Linked DNA regions of Drosophila melanogaster. Each later gene encodes a partner of the first gene's protein in a complex. Each region holds a gene or a part of one and is shown on either strand. Other genes may lie near its edges.

Region 1 (5,245 bases):
CAAATTGAAGATAAGTGGATTAACGATTACACATATCCAAGATTCGTAATCTGGGATTGGCGGAGTATTTACCCGGACGTTGGCGGCACTGGGAATCTGGCCGCCGTACGAGGAGGAGCTCCAGGGATACATGGACGTGGGATTTGGACCGGGGGGGCGTTGCTTCTCACCACAGGCAGCCCTCTTTTGACGTCGACAGGGTGGGCACTCAGCACTCGGTTAAGCCTGGACCTGGGGCACTCGGTTCTCTAGGAATTTCGACTTCTGGCGACTACAGGTTGCACCTCGATGCACTTACCATTACTGCAGCGTTAGGGCGAAGTGAAATAAGCCAATTATTCTGAAAATATCTATTTGCAGAGGAGATATCGATTGCCGACAGCCGACAGACACATTGGACGTCCTGATATCGATTGACATGCTAGTGATGCAAGTTCTTCGATATGTTGTTGTTGTTAATATCAAACCGTTAGCAAATACACCAACCACAATTCATAGATAGAGTTAAAAAATATATTTTATTCAAATAAATTTAGTTTTGAAATAGTGAAGTATGGTGGTGACTTCTCTGTGGCTTAAGTTTTTTGAACGAGCACGTCGTGCAAAGAAGAAATATATTTAGTATATTAAATTTCTTGATTTCACTAAAATTGCTGGCAATCATGTACTTTTATTTGAAGCTTAAATCATACTTAATAACTAAGGTCATTGCTCACATAGATTTACTAGTGAACCTGCTTCCAAAAGCCCCCACAGTGGCAGTGCAGCCACTTACTAAACCACGCCTTGAGGGCCGACGTCTTGGCCACTTTGCTGGCGTTATTCACGAACACGAATCCGCAGCGGGCGCATCTCCGAATGTGGCTGGGTCGGGCGCCCAGTTGGAGATTGCTCACGCCATCCTTCACAGAGCTGGCGAAGACCACCTCCTCCGTCTCCATGTCCTGCAAGCAAGTTGGCTCCTCCATGGAGGTGAACTGCAGCTGTCCCGACTTTACGGCCGCGAATCCTTGGGCACTCAGCAGCGTGGTGGGGTTGAACTTGGTGGGCTGGGGAATTAGGAGCTGCTTGGAAAGCAGGCTGCACTCGTCCAGCAGCATTTCGTCCGGTTCTGCAGGATTCTGGGCCAGGCGAGTAAGCAAACGAAACAAGATCACTAGCACATCGATGTTGTCCATCGTCTTGGTGTAGACGGGCAGGCACTGGGTGTTTAACAGGCCCCAAATGCGGATCATAACCAGCAGCTCGCGCAGACTGCTGATGGCCACGATGTCTCGGCTGATATCGTAGCTAGGCCGCTTTCCGGAGAGCTTGGTCTTCATTACCTCCTCGGGCAGACGATGCAGCATGTTGAGTGCCAGGTCGGTGACCCACTGAATCAGTTGCTGTAGACTTTGCAGCATCACCGGCTCCACTGTAAAGTCCTTGGCGTCCAGGTTCAGCATCACGGTGTCCACATCCGGAATGGATTCGGCCAGCTTGATGGCCAAGTTATCGGCAGGTCCTTTATCCTGGAAACCCAGATCAGACGGTCGCAGGAGGCTCTTGAATGTGGTGGATATTGCGTGTAGGATAATGAGATTGTCAAACTCCTGCTGCTGCATGCGGCATATGTTGGACTTGAGGGCCAAAAAATTAGCATAATAAAAGTGCCGCACAAAGGAAGGTTGCCGCGTAAAGTTGTCGGTTAGCTTCTCCACCAGAGCCTCCAGGTTGCCTAGATTAAGGAGTAGCACATCGCTGGCATCGCAACCTGTAACGATGCAATATTCCAGAAGTAGCAAACCAGATCCTCCTTGCTTCGGCAGAGGTGCCTGCATGGCGTAAAGTTGTGCATGGCTATCAAAGATTAGGAGAATTTGGCTGCTAGGTGTCAAGTCGCCGCTAACGAACTTTACTGCTCCACTGGCGTCAGATAACCTATCAAACTGGGTGTGATTAAGCTGCTTCATCGAGTTGGGCTCCAGCACCTGGACGCTGTTGTCCTGCAGAATGGCGTACACTTGGCAAGAGTCCGGCGTTGATACCGATAGTCGTGTAACGCTGATATCCGCCAAGGATGCATTTAGTTGCACTTTGCCCACCTGCTCCCAGCTTTCCGATTGCACGAACTCATTTGGCTTGTTGTTGGCACCTCCTCCACCCTGGAGAAGGGCGTGGACACTTTGGTGACGGCGTGTCAATGTCCATTGCTCCAGTTGGCTGCCAGCACCATCTGGACAAGCGTAGGCTATAAAAATCACATCCTCGTTGGCTATTCGCGTCCATTTTAGGTGACTGATCCGCCTCCCGTCAAGAGGACCCAGAAATATGCTGGTCTGGGACTCGGATTTGATGGCCAAGTGCTGCTCCAGACCCAGTTCGCCCTCCAATGAAAGCGAGACCTTAAAGCATTGCACCAACTGTTGCTGCCAGCCACAGCTGAAAGCGATATTAAGGGCTCCCGATGGACTTGGCGTCATGCTGCAGTGTTCGATGAAGCTGCGCGATATGCCGATGCTGTGGAGCGCGGGTGTCAACTCGACGACCTCGTGGGCAGGACCATCAGCTCCTGCGGCGGATGTCTTTTGGATTGCGGGGAGACTGAAGGCGGCCAGCAGGCCTGAGGAAGTGAGTAGCACGCATCCCTCGCTGGCCACTCCGCCAAATCCGCTGAGAGTGGGCCTCTGCTGCTCCACCCGCTCGAACTTCTCCGCATAGTAGGTGTGATCCTTCTTCAGCGCATTGAAGATCACTCCTTTGCCATTCTGAAAGAACTGTGCTTCTATAATGTCCTCGCTGGGCACGGTGGCGTAATACTGCAGCACCCATAGGTTAATTGACTGGTTCCTCGGCTGCCAGATCTCGACGCGACCGCCGACGTATCCAAGCAGCAGTTGCTCCCCATTGGGACTCCACTGGAGGACGCTGATAAGCGATTTGGAGGAGCACACCTTATAGTATTCCCACGGCGTCACGATGTCGCACACGTACACATGGCTGTTGCTCGCGCCTACGGCCAAACCCGCTCCCGGCAAGGATCCATCGCCGGCATCTCCTCCGTGGGAAGCCGGAAATATGGCGCTCTGGAGGGCGCTAAACGCAACGATGTTCCGTGCGGAGACTGAGCAGAGGACCTTCTTGTGCGGAAAAACGCTGTCCTTGCTGAACTCCTTGCCCTCCACTTTGTACAAAATCGTCATTTTTGCAGCGTAAACAAAAACCAAAGCGGACTATTATTGTTTTGCACCCGGCGTCTGCCAACACTACTCTGTGAAGAACTTTACAGCACTGTTTCGCGGGTGTTTAGCGCTTTTCCACTGCATTTTTGATTCCATTGTTACTGTAAAATGTTTGGTTTTTATGTTTAGATTTAAGATAGTGCTCATTAATATTTTAATTCTGAACAGCAAATAAAGCTTTTACAGCGCAGCAGCTTTAAATCATTAATCATTTAAACAAAAATTAAGTTATTAAATAATAGCCAGTTTCTCACTGTTAATTATTTTACGGTCGCCCCAATTTAAGCAAGAATTATTATGACCAGTTGGCCACACTGTCCCTCGTTCAATTTCGCTTTGTTTACATCTGGTGATTATATTATAGTTTATTGTTTTACCGATTTTTTTTTTTTAGTGGCCGCAACAACAGGTGAGATAAGTTTCCGTATTCGCAGCCAGGACGCCGTTCCCCGATCGAGTTCGATTCGTTCGCCAAACAAAAACGGCTGCAAACCGGCTTTTTATATTTATCAGCAGACGTCTTGTGTTTGAAGCGATATTACTCACAGTTTATTGAACTCTGAGGCAGCGTACATTAACTTAGGGCAATAAATACATACACGTCTTACGGACTAACTAATTATGATATCGCGGCTGAAGTGGCTACACCAGGTTGGCATAGCGCAGTCCCTTGACGAGACTTCCGCTGAAGCTGTCCTCGTCAGTGAACCGAATTCCGTCCGCCTGGCAGGACTGCAGGCTGCACGGATACTCGGCGCCGTAAGCACTGCTGTCCCAGCGGATCTGCAGCTCATAGGTCAGCTCCGGATTCAGCACACAGGCCTCTTCGCGTCGCCAGCCAAGATGCAGGTTGCAGTTGTACTTGGTATTCTGGCTCTGGACAACGTGACTCCATACGGGCGACGTGGCCGGACCCTCGCTTTCAGCGGGCACCTCGCAAAGGTCCAGCCGCAGCGATTCGCGGTACTCCAGCTGCTGGACGTGACCCAATAGGTTGGGAGTCAGCCTGCTGTTCAGGACCAAGCCCATCAAGGAGATAAATCTAGAGCACTTTAGACGCAAGCGAAACAGCGGAGTTTCTGCATCCACTGTAAAGGGCCTGCAGGCCTTGTAATAGCAGCGCTCCACCAAAACCACCGGAGTTAGGGCAGGTGATTCCAAATCACTAGCACCCGAAGCCGCAGGCCAGTCGCTTGTTTTGCCACCCAAGTCGTGCACTACTAAGTCGGCATCGCTGGGACCCAGACCCAACTGCTCGCACTCCTGTCGTGTCCACTCATAAACATACCAGATGAGTAACTTGTGCGGTTCCTTGCACGCCGCTATTATGGCCTTCACACACTCCTTGGACACGTGCACATAGTGCTCCTTAAGGTGGCTCATATACTGTCCATTATTAACACAGCATCGCATGAAAAAGGTCATGCAGACCTCCAGCAACCCGTCGAGGCCCATGCAAACACTTAGCTCTAGAGCGGGCAAGATATTGGCAAATCGCAGCTTGCGGGTGATAACCATCAGCGTGTCGGCGATCAGCTCCTCCAGCAGATACTTCTCAGCGGCGTAGTACAGCTCAATGCAGGCCACCAGCTCCAGGCCATTGTAGTCAACGACGCCCGTGTAGATGTACTCCACCAGCACCTTGAAGATGGCAGAGCTTATGTCGTGGATTTCGATTTCCGGCTCGGGCTCGTTGTTTTGCATGGGACCAAAGAACATTGCCTCGAAAACGGGACTGGCGGAGCTCAGGATGAGCTTGTGGCATTTCACTTGCTCCTCGCACACGTGGAACACGCAATCTGTGTACTTGGCTCCACGGAGCAGCTGCCCGTATCGCCTACCCAGACCGCTGCTCACACTGCCCGGCTCTTTGCGATCCACCGCCGAGATGCTCATCTGCGAAAGGGGCAGAGAAAGGTGGTAGATATTAATGAGCCATTCGAAAACCTGTTTCCAATTTGCCCGTGTCATAGGCGGCCATCAATCATTCGAAGTATAATAGAAACTATTCAGGCGCGGGCGAA
Region 2 (7,767 bases), 710 kb from region 1:
CAATCCCAATTGATGTCCGACTTGGACTTGTTGGGCCGATGAGTGCCGATTAGGGCCATGAAGGGAAACTCTTTACCGGATGCCTTTGTGCCGCCCACGATGAAGGGCGTGGACTGGCAGGCGGATCTGACCTCGTTGTATTGCTTGCACTCTAAAAAAAAAAAACGAATATTCAAATTCCATCAATCGAAGGGAATTGTTGCAGTCACTCCTCACGCTTCTCAAAAGGCCTCGTCTGTTCGGCTGGCTTCAGATTCTGGTGATCCAGCGGTATGGGACAGCAGACAATGTCGTTGAACTCGTCGCAGTACTTGACTTCGGCTCCGATCAGGTGCTGGTTGTAGAATATCACTGGACAGTCGGAGGGCGTCAGCTCCTTGCACTCGCCCGTTCCATTGTCGCAGTACTCGGTCACCACGCTGACTGAAGCAATCAGCAACAGAATCTGGATTCCCGGAAGCGCATACATCGCAGTGCTCTGCGATCACAACTGAGAACGGCGCTCGAGGTGGACAAGATCACCAACTACAGGTTATCTACGAAGAGCTTTAAGCTGGGCTTATTAAGTCAAGCTTTTGATTGTAAAGCTGGAGGGAGGACTTGGGCCGACAGCTGTGACTTACAAAAAGTTCCCTTAGTATCTAACTTAAACATATCTGAGAACTGTTTACACATTCAATGGAAAATGAATAATGCAATAAGCGATAAAATATAAGATAATACTACTATAAATTAGGCTTATGTCGTTATGTCAGCTTGAACTGACTTGGGAGTCCCACAAAGTCTAATTGTGGCGCATGTTTTGCATGTGCTGATGCTGCTGCATGTGCTGCATATACATTTGTTGCTGCTGGTTGATTTGCTGCTGCTGCTGTAGGTTGCCACCGCTGCCCAAGGGAACGCTGGTTGTTTGTACTGCGTTGATTTGTTGCTGCTGCATCTGTTGTTGCTGCTGTTGCTGCTGCTGCTGCTGCTGTTGCTGTTGTTGTTGCTGCTGTTGTTGCTGATGTGGTTGCTGCGGCTGCTGCTGATGCTGTGTTTGCATTGGAGACTGCGTTTGGCTGGTTATTGCATTATTGCTGGTATTGTCGTTGCTGAAATTGGAAAAGTTATGTTTAAACCGAAGTAGAGTTTGAATTAAATGGCCCTTACATCTTTTCAGTGTGAATATCCTCCAAGTTAAGGTGGGTTATGAACCTCAGGCGCATTTGCAGCAGGGGCCGTAGCCGCTTAATGATGGCTTCCGATTCGTTCTTAATGATATTACCCACATGTATATACTTAATGTGATAGCTGAAATGATACAAACACATTTGTTTAGTACCCTTTCATGCGATTTTGTGGATTTGCTTACAGGAAATCGCAGATCTGGTCCATGTACTGCAGAGGCTTCGGACCATGATGCTTGTCCACGATCTCAAGAATTTCGTAAAGCAACACGGCTATGCCAGCCACAGCGTTCGGTTTTTCCAACTCTATTCGTTGCAGGAAGGGGCCAAAAACGTGGCACAAATACAGCAATTGTTGTTCGGTTCGCACGCACGGCTTTAGCTTCTCCTTGAGGTACCTGGTCATTGCCGCCAGCTTAAAGGCGCCCATGTGATGGAACACTGAGTGAGCTACTGCCAACACCACGGCGTAGGTCTTTTCTAGCATCGCCTCACGCACTGTCTTGAAGTTAAACAACTCGAAAGCATTGAATCTGTAGGTCCAGTTCAGCATATTGGGTGTGTTGAGCATATCCTGTAGGCGATCGTATATGCCGCTCCAGTAGGGCTCAGGCAAGGCAGCCAGAACAATGCCCACAGCATTAATGTAGCTGTGAATGTCCTTTTGCGGAATAACCGCATATCCGCTTACTATAACATCGATGAGATTGCTGGCCACCAGTGGCGGTGCCACCGGCAGACCCAGCAGCTCCACGCATGTCACATAGAGCGCATGGGTTGGCGCATTCGGGAACTCGTTAAAACGCCAATCGGTGGAGTAAAATACATTCTTCCCACTAATTGCTGCAAAATAAAAGGGGTTACGCATGAATATATGAACACATCATAGTATTTTCCCAAATCCTAGCTTACTGTCTGCAAGTCTCCTGATCAAACTCATATAGTAGCTCAATTCGGGGGTCCACAGCGAGTCTTGGCTTTGCAAATACACCTTGTACGGCTCACTAACACTCCAGTTGGGCGGCCGAATCTCGCTAAAGGCGCTGGTGATAGCGCCAACCTGGAACAACACAGTGTATTAGAAGAAGGGAATATAATATTCATAACAAATCTTACAAGTTTCTTCTTTAGCGCAGGGCGGTCTCGTAAGATTCGCTCATAATAATGGAGGGTGTTGTACAGATATGTTATAGGTCGATCTGCAATTTAAAGGGTAATTTAAAGTTATGAAATTCTCGAAAGCCACTTTTAACATACCGTGAAACTTGTAGAGTATGCTCAGATGATCCAAAATGAAGCCCAATATCTGGTGGACATTTGTAATGGTAAGTTCGATAAATCTGTGCACTACCACATCCAGAACGGGAAGGAATCGCAGACAGACATTGCTGAAGTACACGGGCAGCGGAATCTGTGAAGCTGACTCGTCCAACGCGAACTTCTCTGGATACTTTTGATGGAATGACAAGTGTTTGTCCTGCCTGAGAAATAATAACAACTATGCCTTTGTGCTCTTAACAAAATCAAGTGTCCAACTTACCAGTTGCTCTGCTTCCAGTGATCAGGATTATTGTCCTTGCAGAACTCCTGAACACGATTTCTCAGCTCGCTGGCTTTCAGCAAGAGCAGCTGAATTATGAGAAAGCAGACTTGAGCCTCGTTACCCTCGTGCGTTCGCAGAGCCAGGCAAAGCACAACCCTATCGATGGTCACAACGTTGAACTTCCAAATCATGTTGTTAATGGTGTCGACGCACTTGTGAATAAAGTCGCGGCCATCCGATGAGCTAGCTACCTCAGCCACCAAGTAGTCACAAAATTTACGCAGATGAGTGGACAAGGCTCTCGCGCTTATACCCTCCAAAATTCTAAAAAAAAAGGTATGGTCAGAAAAAATGATTGTGTTTAAATCATAATGTTACGCACTTGTAAGCCACTGGGCTTATGTTCTCCGTCTCCCAAATTATTTTGAACAGAAGGCAAAGGAATAAAGGATTCGTAGTTGGACGCAAGAAGTGCGCAATTATGTCATTCTCGTTGGTCATCGACGTCCAGGTTCGATATTCCTCTTCCACGGCCTTCTTCAACTGCTGCTTGTTCTCCGGAGGTTGGTTGTTCTGCGTAAAGTACTCGTTTAAGGCGGGCGGAAAGCAGGCTAGGGAATGCATGGGCCACGAGTGCGGCGTGTGCTGAATGATGTTGGAAAGGAAGTCCTTGCACCATCCCTGCATTTCATCGCCGCCACCATGTACGTGCATGGATCGAGCTAGCGTAAGAATAAGTACTCTGTTTAGCTCTTCGCTCTCATTAGACGCCACTGCTCCGGGAGATTTGTCGTTAAAGTAACGCGAAAACTGCGGCTGAAACTCGGCGGATCCAATGCTGGTGATCAGACGCAGTGCAGTAGATTCAAAACTATACAAAGGGAAGAACTTAGAAAGAAGTCTATACTCGATAAACGTATAACTAACCAGAGATTGAGCTGCATCTTGTTTGTCTGCGGCACGGAGGACAGAGAATGAAGGAGAGACAGCAATTGGACCCGGTAGTGAGTAGGAACATGGTGCAGCCGGTACGAAAACATCTCCATTAAGGTGTGCAGCATGGCCCACGCATGGTTCTTAAACACTGTTGGCATCAGTTGGCCTTTAGGAGGAAAAAAAACCATAAACATATTGTTTAATCACTTCAACAGGCTGTACTTACTCAGGAATCCCTTTATACCGAGCGACTCGATTTCTGTATAAACCAGAAGTCTGGCATAAGTTTCCAGTAGTGCAGCCGCTGGAACTTGACCCTTGCTTTGGGCCTGTTTTAACATCTGAGTTACGAAGCTGTGGATTAACGACATCTTACTGTGCACCGTCAAGCTGTCCAGAACCGTGACCGAAAAAGTTACGGCTGGGATTTGGCCACCGTTTGGAGATTTTGAAGTGCCATTTAGGGCATCCAGCAGTAGACCCATGGGACGCCCGAAGTACTCCTGATTCGTTGAGTATGCATTGCAGATGAGAATTATGCGGAAGTCGTTTCCTAGCGTCATGTTCATCATGGTGTTAGCCGTGACTAGGTGCTGCAGAAAGCTGGGAATTAAGCAGTTAGTATCTAAACACCAAAGGAAGTTAGAGGTATTACTCGTAGTGGTTTTTCAGTGCAATTGGCAATGGTCTGGTGATGTTCATGTTTTCCACTCGTGCCTTCTTCATCAGGTGAATCCAAACGCAAATGGGTGCCATATGGCGAACCATCGAGGATTTATTGATATCTGGCAGCTTAAGAGGCTCTAGCTCGGGATATAGTAGGTCAAACAATCTGAACACAGGCAGGAAATTGGTGATCTAAAATTAAAAGCGATTAAAAATAAGATCAATCAGGTGGAGAACAGGATCTTACAGGATTTTTCTGTATGCTTCCGGATATAAACTGCAACAGAATCCACATAAGTTGATCGCGACCCTTGCGAAGCTCCAACTTGGAAAGCTATAGGTGAAAAGTAGTTAATTACAAGAAATATTAATTTCATCCACCATGGACCTACCTTTTCGTGGAGCGCCAACACTATGTGCATAAAGCTTACGAACTGAAAGAGCACAAAGTAAATTAGTTGCGAAGAGAGATGCAGCCACATCCACTCGTAGGGCGTGATCTGCTCGTCTGAGGAGTTAAAGCCACTTCCCGCAGTGGCATCATTCGCCTCCGTCATCTCCATGGCCTGCACTATGAGATTAACCAACTGCTCTTCCAGGGCATTGTAGCGCTGCTTCTGATGCTTTTGCAGGTTCAGCATTTGAGAGACCATTTCCCTTGAGTACGGCTGCTCCAAAACGTAGCGGAGTAGGGGCTTCTGCTCTTCGAGCAGCTCTGGCTCGTAGGGCAGGCTACCCTTAAAGTTAAACTTCAGGGTATTGTGGTCCAGTCGCCAGGAGTTCATCATGTGATCGGCATAGCCGAAATGCTCTACGATGGGAAGCATGCTGGCATGTCCAATGATCGAAACCATTTGTGCCGTGGTGCGGAACTCTTCGACAAAGTCGGTCATCAGCCGGTTGAGTTTCCAGTGGTAAGGAAACGGACGCATAATCTCGTTGGCAATAAAGTAGGCGGGCAGCAGGCAATTGTTGCGATCAAAGATGAATCGCAGGATATCCTCAACGGCCAGTAGCTGTGGCATGTAGGTAACGTTGACGTTCAGCGGAAACCATTGTGCCTTGTCGCGGCATACCTTCATGATCTCGCGCACACCCTTGTAGTCCACCTGGACGATCACACGCTTGATCAGCCGGAAGCTCTCGATCCAGAAGGTCCTGTGCTCGAAGTCCAGTTTCTCGCACATCAGCACCTTGTCGCACAGCATCCTGGCGGTGATCACGTGTGCGTCCACCAGCTTCACCAGTGCCGCCATCAGCACTTTGATGTGATATCCGGAGGCACCGGCGGCACGCAACAGGTAGAGCCGAAGCACCTGCTCCCGGTTCTCCTGCGCCACGTTCCCAAAGGCGGTAACTGAAACAGATAGTTTTTAACAATTTTCGAGTTCCAGCAGACGCATTTACCTACCCAAATCATTGGCGAAGCGGGTAGCTCGTTCTTGCTCGGTGTTTGGCTTGAATACAATGACGCTAACGAACGCCTCGTCAAGGGAGTCGACCTTCTGCGAAATGGAGAGCGTGGATGAGTGGGTGATTTTTTGGAGACGCAGGGTTTCACTATTACCAGAAACTCGTTAACGGTGTCTATAACTTGCGTTTCCATATCCATTTAAATTATTTTTCGCATATCCGACACCGCATAAACAAAAACTACCTGGGCACAGTGTGACCAAATGGGGCTTAGTAAAGAATCTAAAAGTGGCTTTTTCTGATAACAAGAAATAGCTAAAGGATTAGATTAAAAACGCCAGGCAGGCAGCACTGACTGATTAGCCGGCATTTAAAGCAGCTGGTCGCATTGAGTCGAAAATTACTTTAGAAACTAATTGACTTGATTTGTGGAATCGCACAAAAATCATGAAGAAAGTTCTGGTTACAGGCGGAACTGGGCTGGTGGGCAAGGCCCTGGAGGCTGTGATCAAGGAGCAGTCCCCAGAGGACGAGCAATGGTTTTTTGCGGGCTCTAAAGATGCAGATTTGACGTAAGTCATGAAGAAATTCAATTGAACGTATCCGTAAACAAATTCTCTCCACAGAAATCTGGCCGCCACGCAGGCACTCTTCGCCCGAGAGAAGCCCACGCATGTCATCCATCTGGCTGCAATGGTCGGAGGCCTGTTCCACAACATGAACAACAACCTGGACTTCTTGGTGAGCTCCTGGTCTCACAGATGATTCCAAAACCCATTTCATGCGAATCCACTTTTAGCGCAACAACCTGCTCATTAACGACAATGTCCTGCAAACGGCACACGAGCAGGGATGCGTGAAGGTGGTGTCCTGCCTGTCCACATGCATTTTTCCGGACAAAACCAGCTACCCCATAGATGAGACCATGGTGCACAATGGGCCGCCGCACCCCTCCAATTATGGTTACTCCTACGCAAAGCGACTGATAGACGTGCAGAACCACGCCTACCACGATAAATATGGCCGGGTGTACACCTCGGTCATTCCGTGCAACATATTCGGTCCCCACGACAACTATAATCCAGAGGTCAGCCACGTTATTCCGGGCATGATCTATAGGATGCACCAGCTGGTTACGGAGAAGACTGACGTCCCCGAAAACGACAAGGTGTTCACCGTTTTCGGAAGCGGCATGCCACTACGGCAGTTTGTATACTCCCGGGACCTGGCGGAGCTGATGATCTGGGTGCTCAGGAACTACGAAAGTGTGGAGCCCATCATCCTAAGCGCGGACGAAGTGCAGGAGGTGACGATCTTCGAGGTGGCCCAAGCCGTTGCAAAAGCATTTAATTTTAATGTGGGTTAAAAAGCGAAATTTGAGACAAGGCAAGATATTAACTTGATTTATTCCAGGGAAGACTGGTCTGTGATACGAGCAAGTCGGATGGACAGTACAAAAAGACTGCGTCTAATGCCAAGCTTCGCTCCTTCCTGCCAGACTACGCATTTACGGACTTGGAAACGGCAATCAACGCCTCGGTTAAGTGGTACATAGAAAACTACGACCAGGCTAGAAAGTAATTGAATATTCCAACCCCAAAAAAAAATGTAAATAGACAACGAATTTTCACAGAACTTTATGCGCGTTTAATGTCCAACAAAATAACAATACCTTAATCAGTCCAGGAGTCGCCGTATTGGTTCTTCCTTCCAGCGGGTTCACTTTGTGCCTGCTCCACGGGTCGCTGTTGAACGGCAACTGGTGGTTCGTAAGGTCGCGAGTATGGACTCTGCTGGTGCTTCGAATACTCTTCTCGGTTCCTTCGTCGCAGGTCCTCGTAAGACTGGCCCGGCTTAGACGGCTCCAAGGGCAACTCTGCCTCCAGCATTGAACCAGCTGCTGGGAAGGAGAATGTACAGAATCATAATAGGGAATGCGAAGAATTAGATGAGCTTACAGTCCAGGGTGGGGCGGTAGATGTCGTCAAGGCCGGACAAAGTAGGGCGCGATTCCGTGTCCAGATTGAGAGAAGTGCTCCT
Region 3 (3,265 bases), on another chromosome or scaffold:
ATGTTCGCTATGCAAATATCGGAATAGAGCGTTGTTAGTTCTCGATATTAAAGAATTTTCAAAGCTTTTTGCTATTTCGTCACCGGAGCGGCCATATTTAATTTTGCAAGTCACTTTTTGCACTAGCAGAAAATTTTTCACTACGCCATTCGGTAGGCGAAAAGTTCTAGATGATCGTTTGTACTTACCATCGCGTGATAGCTTTGAGCAAATTAACAACTTCGTTCTTGTTTAAGGCTCCTGTACGGTTAAGTATCAGGGCTTTAACAACGGAATTCCAATCCGTTCCGCCGCTGTGGGCCGACATTATTGTTTAAATAATCTCGTCAATTTGCCCGATAGTACTGAGTACTCGGCCTACTGTGTGGCCAGATTTCATTAACGGTAAAATGCCGTGCGAGCAGGGATACCACACAGCTTTAATCATTATTCCAATCAGCTGTTTTAAAAATACATAAAAAAGTAGTGAATAACCAATATATGAAAAAAACTGTACACTGCACAAAATATATATATATATATATATATAACTATAATATTTTAAACGTATTTGGACAAGCTAATAAATGTTTTGTTTATTCGTCTAAAATATGTAAAGCAAACTAGTGATGCTAGCTTTAAAATAATGATTATTTAATTATTAAATATTAGTGACATATGTATATTTTTTTTGTTTAAATTATCTTCTAAACATCTTAATCGGCTGCAGGCTCATCCGGTGGCTCCAGCTTGACGTCGGCGGATCAGGATCGATGTAGTCCCGCCACCGCCGGCGACATATGCACGTTCGGACCAACCTGTTGGCTACCCGGTCCACTGCCCATACCGCCCATAAGAGTCACATGCTTCCTATAGTTGGTGAACTGCTCCAGGTATTGTTTCACGGTGTCCATTGGCTCAAAGATGTCGTTGTGCTTGGCATGCAGCTGCTGTTGCCCCATTGCCGTCATTATTGTCTGTGGAGCGAAATAGGAGGGAAAGTCCTTATTCACAGCAATGCCGAGGAATCCCTGCAGCATTTCGCGTATCATTTCCCAGCAGTAGGCCAGAATCACGCATGACTTGTACTCGATTTCGATGAGGATGCCCTTGAAGTGCTCCATCATGGTGACGGAACCGAGTTTGATAACAAAGTCACCATACTCGAAACGAGCGCCACGGGACTCGATTTTGGTCTGCTTTTTGGAGGTGAAGGTGTTGGTCATCTTGAGCATGAGCAGATCGAAGATATTGTCGGCGACAATGGCCACTTGTTTGCCGGTGCCATTGTCGATGATCGAGAACGTGGAGGCGGGATACTCGGAGTTGTGCAGGACGTGGACTGCGCGTCCAGGTGCTCCATTGTGCGGCTGTGGCGTCGAGATGAACGTTTCGCAGTCCACCAGAAATTGACCGGCATGTGTGGCGCCCAGGGCGAGCAGACGCTTGCTCAGCTGATCGATTATGTGGGCACCCGATTTGCCTTCGGGTAAGGGATACGGTTGAAGGATAGTTACTCCCATAGTTTATGCAATAATGTCAGCTTTTTAGTTTTATTAATTTTGTTTACAAGTCTTGCAAGCTAAAAGCGTCCAGTGTGACCAGTGCTGACTTTTTAGTCATGAGAAAAGTTAGACAAATAAAAATACCAAACCGGCATACAATTTTCGTCAGCAATAAAATAGGACAACACTGGCCACGTCGCGTGCGGATTTGTTTATAATTTTCGGCAATGCAGTTTCACTTTAAAGTCGCGGACGCTGAAAGGGACAGGGATAATGTGGCTGCGACCAGCAATGCTGCCGCCAATCCGCACGCAGCCCTGCAGCCGCAACAGCCCGTTGCCCTGGTGGAGCCCAAGGATGCACAACATGAGATACGATTGCAGTTGGTTGACCACTTTTCAGAGGCACTTCATGAAATAAATAGAAACCCATTGATACATCCATAACTTGCAGGAATATCGTGGCCACCTTCTCGGTGAACTGTGAACTGGACCTCAAGGCAATCAACTCGCGTACGAGGAACTCGGAGTACTCGCCCAAGCGCTTTCGTGGCGTCATCATGCGAATGCACTCGCCCAGGTGCACAGCGCTAATCTTTCGAACGGGCAAGGTCATCTGCACGGGTGCACGAAACGAGATTGAGGCGGACATTGGATCGCGAAAGTTCGCACGCATCCTGCAGAAGCTGGGATTCCCCGTAAAGTTCATGGAATACAAGCTGCAGAATATTGTGGCCACCGTTGATCTGCGCTTCCCCATCCGCCTGGAGAACCTCAACCACGTGCACGGGCAGTTTAGTTCCTACGAACCGGAGATGTTTCCAGGCCTAATCTATCGCATGGTCAAGCCGCGCATCGTTCTCCTGATCTTCGTCAACGGAAAGGTTGTATTTACGGGCGCCAAGTCGCGCAAGGACATTATGGACTGCCTGGAGGCGATATCACCTATTTTACTAAGTTTTCGCAAGACGTAGTTGTTTCTACACATCCAAATGTTTTTGTTTAGCTTAGTTATATTCCATAACTACAATATTTTTAATATATTTACCTTAACTTTTTTAGTATAAAATGTGAAATGAAACAACTTAATTAATAATTTCCATGGGTAAATTCATAGAAATTGTAAGATTTTATTTTGGCCTTACTAAGCAAATTAATTTTTATTTAAAAAAAACTGTTGTTATTTTAAATAAATTTTTATATATTAATGTCTTGTAATCCATTTCATTCTATTCTTTGAATTAATAATAAATTTGTAAGTAATTTGAATTTTTATACATTTTTGTACCCATTCCTGGAATTTGGGAAAAATATTCAAATCCACAAATTCTGAAGTGTACCAACACATTCCATGAAAAGAAAACACATTTGGATAAACATTACTTTTATTTATTTTCAGGTTTCGTTTATTACAAAAGAAAACACAAGACACTTCATAGAGATTCGATTCGATTCTTATGGTACGGAAAGGAGCGACATTCTTAAGTTGTGTACAAAAATTTCCTTGTTTCTCGCTTAGTAGCTTCATGTACATGGCTATGTGAGATTTGTGTTGGGAATTTATAAACTAATTGTGGTTCATATGAAGGCGTATATACGTATAAAACTTACAAACTATGCAGATTCATTATTTGCATAAATTAATTGGACGGTTTCTTCAACGATTTTCACTTCATTTCGTTTAAAAATGTATTCAAGAGTTAGATAATACAAATTAGATAAATTTCCATTCGATATGCTTGCAAACTTTTGTCAAGATACATTCGCTAATGATTTCTAAAA
Region 4 (3,466 bases), 1.9 Mb from region 1:
TGAGGGCATCGTGGCTATTGTTGGGCGATCGTGGCATTGGCGGCGAGCGAGGTCCACCACGGCGATCCATGCCACTGTGCATAGCCATGGGCGGTGAACGACGACGCGGAGGTGGTGAAAGCGGTGGCGATTTGCGCAAACGCGACCGACTGCGTGAGTGCGGCGAACGAGAGCGTCCGTAACGCTGCGACGGAGGCGGTGGACCTGGCGGCGGTCCACCTGTGGGCGGATAACGACCGTAGGGCGGTGCTCCACCCTCACGACCTTCGCGACCGTCGCGTTCGCTCTCTCCAGAGCTGCTCTCCCCCTGGATGTACATCTTCTTGTAGCCCGTGTGGCGCCATCGGTTTGGATCCTTCTCCTCTGCCTCGATCAGCTTCTTGTCCCAATAATCGTTGGTGGTGTTGGCGCGCGCCTTCTTCATCACGTTGTCGATCTCGCGTCGCTTTCCAGCGGGTAATGAGGGATCTGCAAGGTTGAGAGGTAAAAGGTAAGCTTCGATTGGCAGGGTGGTGGGCGGTGCTTTGTTCCGGGAAGCCCCTAAGACGGGCTGATGGGTTTATGGGCCCTTAGACATCGCTAATCCCGGCGAGGTAATTGGGTTTTCCCACTTCTATGCAGTTGCTTGCTGGTAGTTGGTAGAAGTTTCAGTTCAGGTACCTGTTATGCGGGCAGCTGTCGGCTGCCTGTCCATGTGCAGTTTTGGATTCAGTTCGGCGCGCCTGCGCGACGCCATCGCGAGATTTCGGATTTCTATCGCTTTGGCAACTATGTATATGTATATATATCGCGCGACAGATATATGTATGTATGTACTCGGGTTTCAATGTTTATTACCCCCAATCGGTTAGGGTTTGGTTTACTGTTTCGGATTCGGTTTGGCGAACGCGACAACACACTTTACCATTTCAAAAACATACACAACAAGCTGCAAATATATTACAATTGAATATAGAAACATGTAAAGAGAGCATTAGAAATGGCTAACACAAAGCAACAACAATATCAGGAGCGGAGTTATACAGAATGGGAATAGAGCGGAGAGACCTGAAAACGCAGAGAGAATCGCGGACGCGCTCCGGCTGTCATTTAACCCATATCACGCCGCGGGGGTCGGGGACCTGTGGTCCCAATCAAAATCGTGCGAGAGAGCCGATTTTTAATCGGCTTGCGCGTATATCTTTTCACATATGCATTTTGAATTTCTTCCATTTTTCACACATACACTCACACCAGCACCAATATATTTGCCTTGTCAGCACGAGAGGAATGCAGAGCGAGACAGAGAGAGAGTGTGAGGCAAAAGTTGGCGATACTCCCGACGGCAGCAACTAAATTTCGAATTTCAGCTCTGGCAATTATGTAAACGATGTAAAACAGGCACTAAAATAATTTGCTTACATTTGGCGACGTTTGCGGGCACGCTTTACGATATTTCGTGAGCTGTTAACGTTTTATTGGCAAATGAAAAACACGGCGTTGCGTTCACTTCAATTTTTCTCGACGGCCATGTTGGTAGTATCGATATGCCGGGGCACAATCGATGGCTTGGCTTCAATAGTCTAAGGACTGTTCAGAGTCTGATGAACTCGAGTCAGTTTATATATTTTAATAATAAATATTGTGTTATTTCAAGAGGCGCTCGTAGTTGAAAACACTATTCGTTTTGGGAATGTTTTATATATTAGACTATTTAAATCATATCATATTGTTTTGACATTATTTTAAGTATGCATTAACGATTCTGCTAATTATTGCAAAAATAAAAGTTATTAGTTCTATTTAAATTAAAACAGAAACAAATAATAACGATCAATTATTAGTTATTGGTGAGCATTAATTCATTTTTTATTGTTCAGTTTCCTTAATTGACCATATGATTTTAATTTTAGGATCTGAATGTAGTGTGGACGCCAGTTTGCTGCTATCGCAAACGTTATCGATAGTACGGTGTTGCAGTATTTTATTACACCCGACTAACAAATGATAATAAGCAGATCCACGGTCACACTTTCCACTTTGTGTCCATCCGACTGAAGTTAAAAATAATAGTTTAATTGGGAGTTTCCAAAATGCAGCGCGACGAAAAGCTTTTTGAGCTGACGCTGGATACGGTCCTTCAGCGTCTGAACGACCTGAAGCTGGCGGTTCTCTCGATGATCCAAAAACTTGAGCTAGAGTACGAGACCATCAACTGGCCGACTTTCCTGGACAACTTTGCCATTATCTCAAGTCACTTGACGGGATTGACGAAAATCTTGGCAAAGGAGCAGTGTCCGCCGCTAAGAAATCGAACGGTCCTGCCCCTTCTGGTCTCCATGGACCGGGATGACACCCTCATCAACATCACAGAGGGTCGGGTGCCAGTCTTTTCACACGACATTGTTCCAGACTATTTGAGAACTCGGCCGGATCCGATTACGGAACAGAAAATGCTGCAGAACGAACAGAAGGCGGCGAACCTCACCAACGACGCTGCCATGAAACAGGTCACTCAATACAACAAGGTCGTCTCCCACGTCCTGGATATGGTCAGCAAAGCGCGCGAGGAGTGGGAAATCGAGAGCTCTTCGCGCACCGGCATCCAGCAGACGAGTAGCATGGCCGACACACAGCTCCTGGTGGCCGCCGTGGGTATGGGAAAAGGACTCAAGCTGACCAACTATGGACCCGGACCTGGCATGATGGTACCGCCTTCAATTCGAGCACCCTCGCCAATGGGTGGACCCGCTATGAGTCCCGGCAACGTGCAGCAGCAGCTGGGAAAGGCGCCATCGGCTGTGAAAACAAACATCAAGTCCGCAAATCAAGTGCATCCGTTCTCTCGATAAAAAACATCAGTTTATTAGCTATTATCGGTTCCATCTGGCGGAATGTTTCGTCGTAATAAGTTATATGTATATTCCTAATTCTAAAACTAGGATTACGCAAACATAAACATGAACAAATTTAAATGGATCGTCTCCTCCGACTCAGACTTCTTATGTTGCTGGCTGTGCGTGCTTCTCATTGATGAGAATCTCGTGCAGCTTAATATCTTTCGGCGTGGAGGTGTCCACCAGCTCCAGGCACAGCGCTCGTCCGCCATCCTTTTGTTTAGTCATTCGCCGCACAATGCCAATAAACTTCTGACCCAGCGACAGTTCCCGGAATCGGACGCAGTTCTCCTTGCTCCATACTACATCAGTCAGTTGTATGCCTGAAAGAAGATCGTTTTTAGTTCTAACGCCAAACTGCTGAAGTTCTCTTGAACTTGCCATAAAGTTGTGCTGGCAATGCCATCTTGGGCAGCTTTCTTAACTCCGGATTTAGAGTTTTCAGTTGATCACAGGCAATTACTCCATCGTCGCCCACGTCGACGAAACGCACGTGTATAATCTCATCGTAAATCTTGTGAATACTTACGCTGCAAGATTAACAGATTTAGTCTGCGTTTTTATTGCAAGACCTGAATAAGTTCTTACCG

The links.
Region 2: MED16 (region 1) and MED23 share a complex: the UniProt entries of both Drosophila melanogaster proteins name them as parts of the mediator complex.
Region 3: MED16 (region 1) and MED20 share a complex: the UniProt entries of both Drosophila melanogaster proteins name them as parts of the mediator complex.
Region 4: MED16 (region 1) and MED8 share a complex: the UniProt entries of both Drosophila melanogaster proteins name them as parts of the mediator complex.

What each region holds. Positions count from the first base shown.
Region 1 is NT_033778.4:22,181,148-22,186,392, reverse strand, and holds MED16 (mediator complex subunit 16), read right to left. Parts: upstream 3,256-5,245; 5' UTR 3,183-3,255; coding exon 726-3,182; 3' UTR 501-725; downstream 1-500. Other genes in the region: Vps35 (vacuolar protein sorting 35), read right to left, coding at 73-132; CG11275 (uncharacterized protein), read right to left, coding at 3,864-5,117. UniProt on the Drosophila melanogaster protein: Component of the Mediator complex, a coactivator involved in the regulated transcription of nearly all RNA polymerase II-dependent genes.
Region 2 is NT_033778.4:22,887,167-22,894,933, reverse strand, and holds MED23 (mediator complex subunit 23), read right to left. Parts: upstream 6,007-7,767; 5' UTR 5,921-6,006; coding exon 5,882-5,920; intron 5,820-5,881; coding exon 5,726-5,819; intron 5,672-5,725; coding exon 4,707-5,671; intron 4,649-4,706; coding exon 4,562-4,648; intron 4,507-4,561; coding exon 4,304-4,506; intron 4,252-4,303; coding exon 3,875-4,251; intron 3,815-3,874; coding exon 3,640-3,814; intron 3,584-3,639; coding exon 3,095-3,583; intron 3,037-3,094; coding exon 2,710-3,036; intron 2,651-2,709; coding exon 2,427-2,650; intron 2,369-2,426; coding exon 2,286-2,368; intron 2,230-2,285; coding exon 2,082-2,229; intron 2,013-2,081; coding exon 1,355-2,012; intron 1,294-1,354; coding exon 1,153-1,293; intron 1,095-1,152; coding exon 785-1,094; 3' UTR 509-784; downstream 1-508. Other genes in the region: CG3700 (uncharacterized protein), read right to left, coding at 1-151, 217-469; Gmer (GDP-4-keto-6-deoxy-D-mannose 3,5-epimerase/4-reductase), read left to right, coding at 6,175-6,299, 6,354-6,468, 6,527-7,084, 7,141-7,308; asrij, read right to left, coding at 7,401-7,627, 7,686-7,767. UniProt on the Drosophila melanogaster protein: Component of the Mediator complex, a coactivator involved in the regulated transcription of nearly all RNA polymerase II-dependent genes.
Region 3 is NT_033779.5:8,071,260-8,074,524, forward strand, and holds MED20 (mediator complex subunit 20), read right to left. Parts: upstream 1,590-3,265; 5' UTR 1,503-1,589; coding exon 744-1,502; coding exon of another isoform or gene 696-743; 3' UTR 553-695; downstream 1-552. Other genes in the region: poe (purity of essence), read right to left, coding at 1-7, 189-307; Trf (TBP-related factor), read left to right, coding at 1,712-1,866, 1,938-2,457. UniProt on the Drosophila melanogaster protein: Component of the Mediator complex, a coactivator involved in the regulated transcription of nearly all RNA polymerase II-dependent genes.
Region 4 is NT_033778.4:20,325,329-20,328,794, reverse strand, and holds MED8 (mediator complex subunit 8), read left to right. Parts: upstream 1-1,988; 5' UTR 1,989-2,072; coding exon 2,073-2,831; 3' UTR 2,832-2,951; downstream 2,952-3,466. Other genes in the region: CG8929 (uncharacterized protein), read right to left, coding at 1-468, 661-736; tapas, read right to left, coding at 2,982-3,199, 3,258-3,406, 3,465-3,466. UniProt on the Drosophila melanogaster protein: Component of the Mediator complex, a coactivator involved in the regulated transcription of nearly all RNA polymerase II-dependent genes.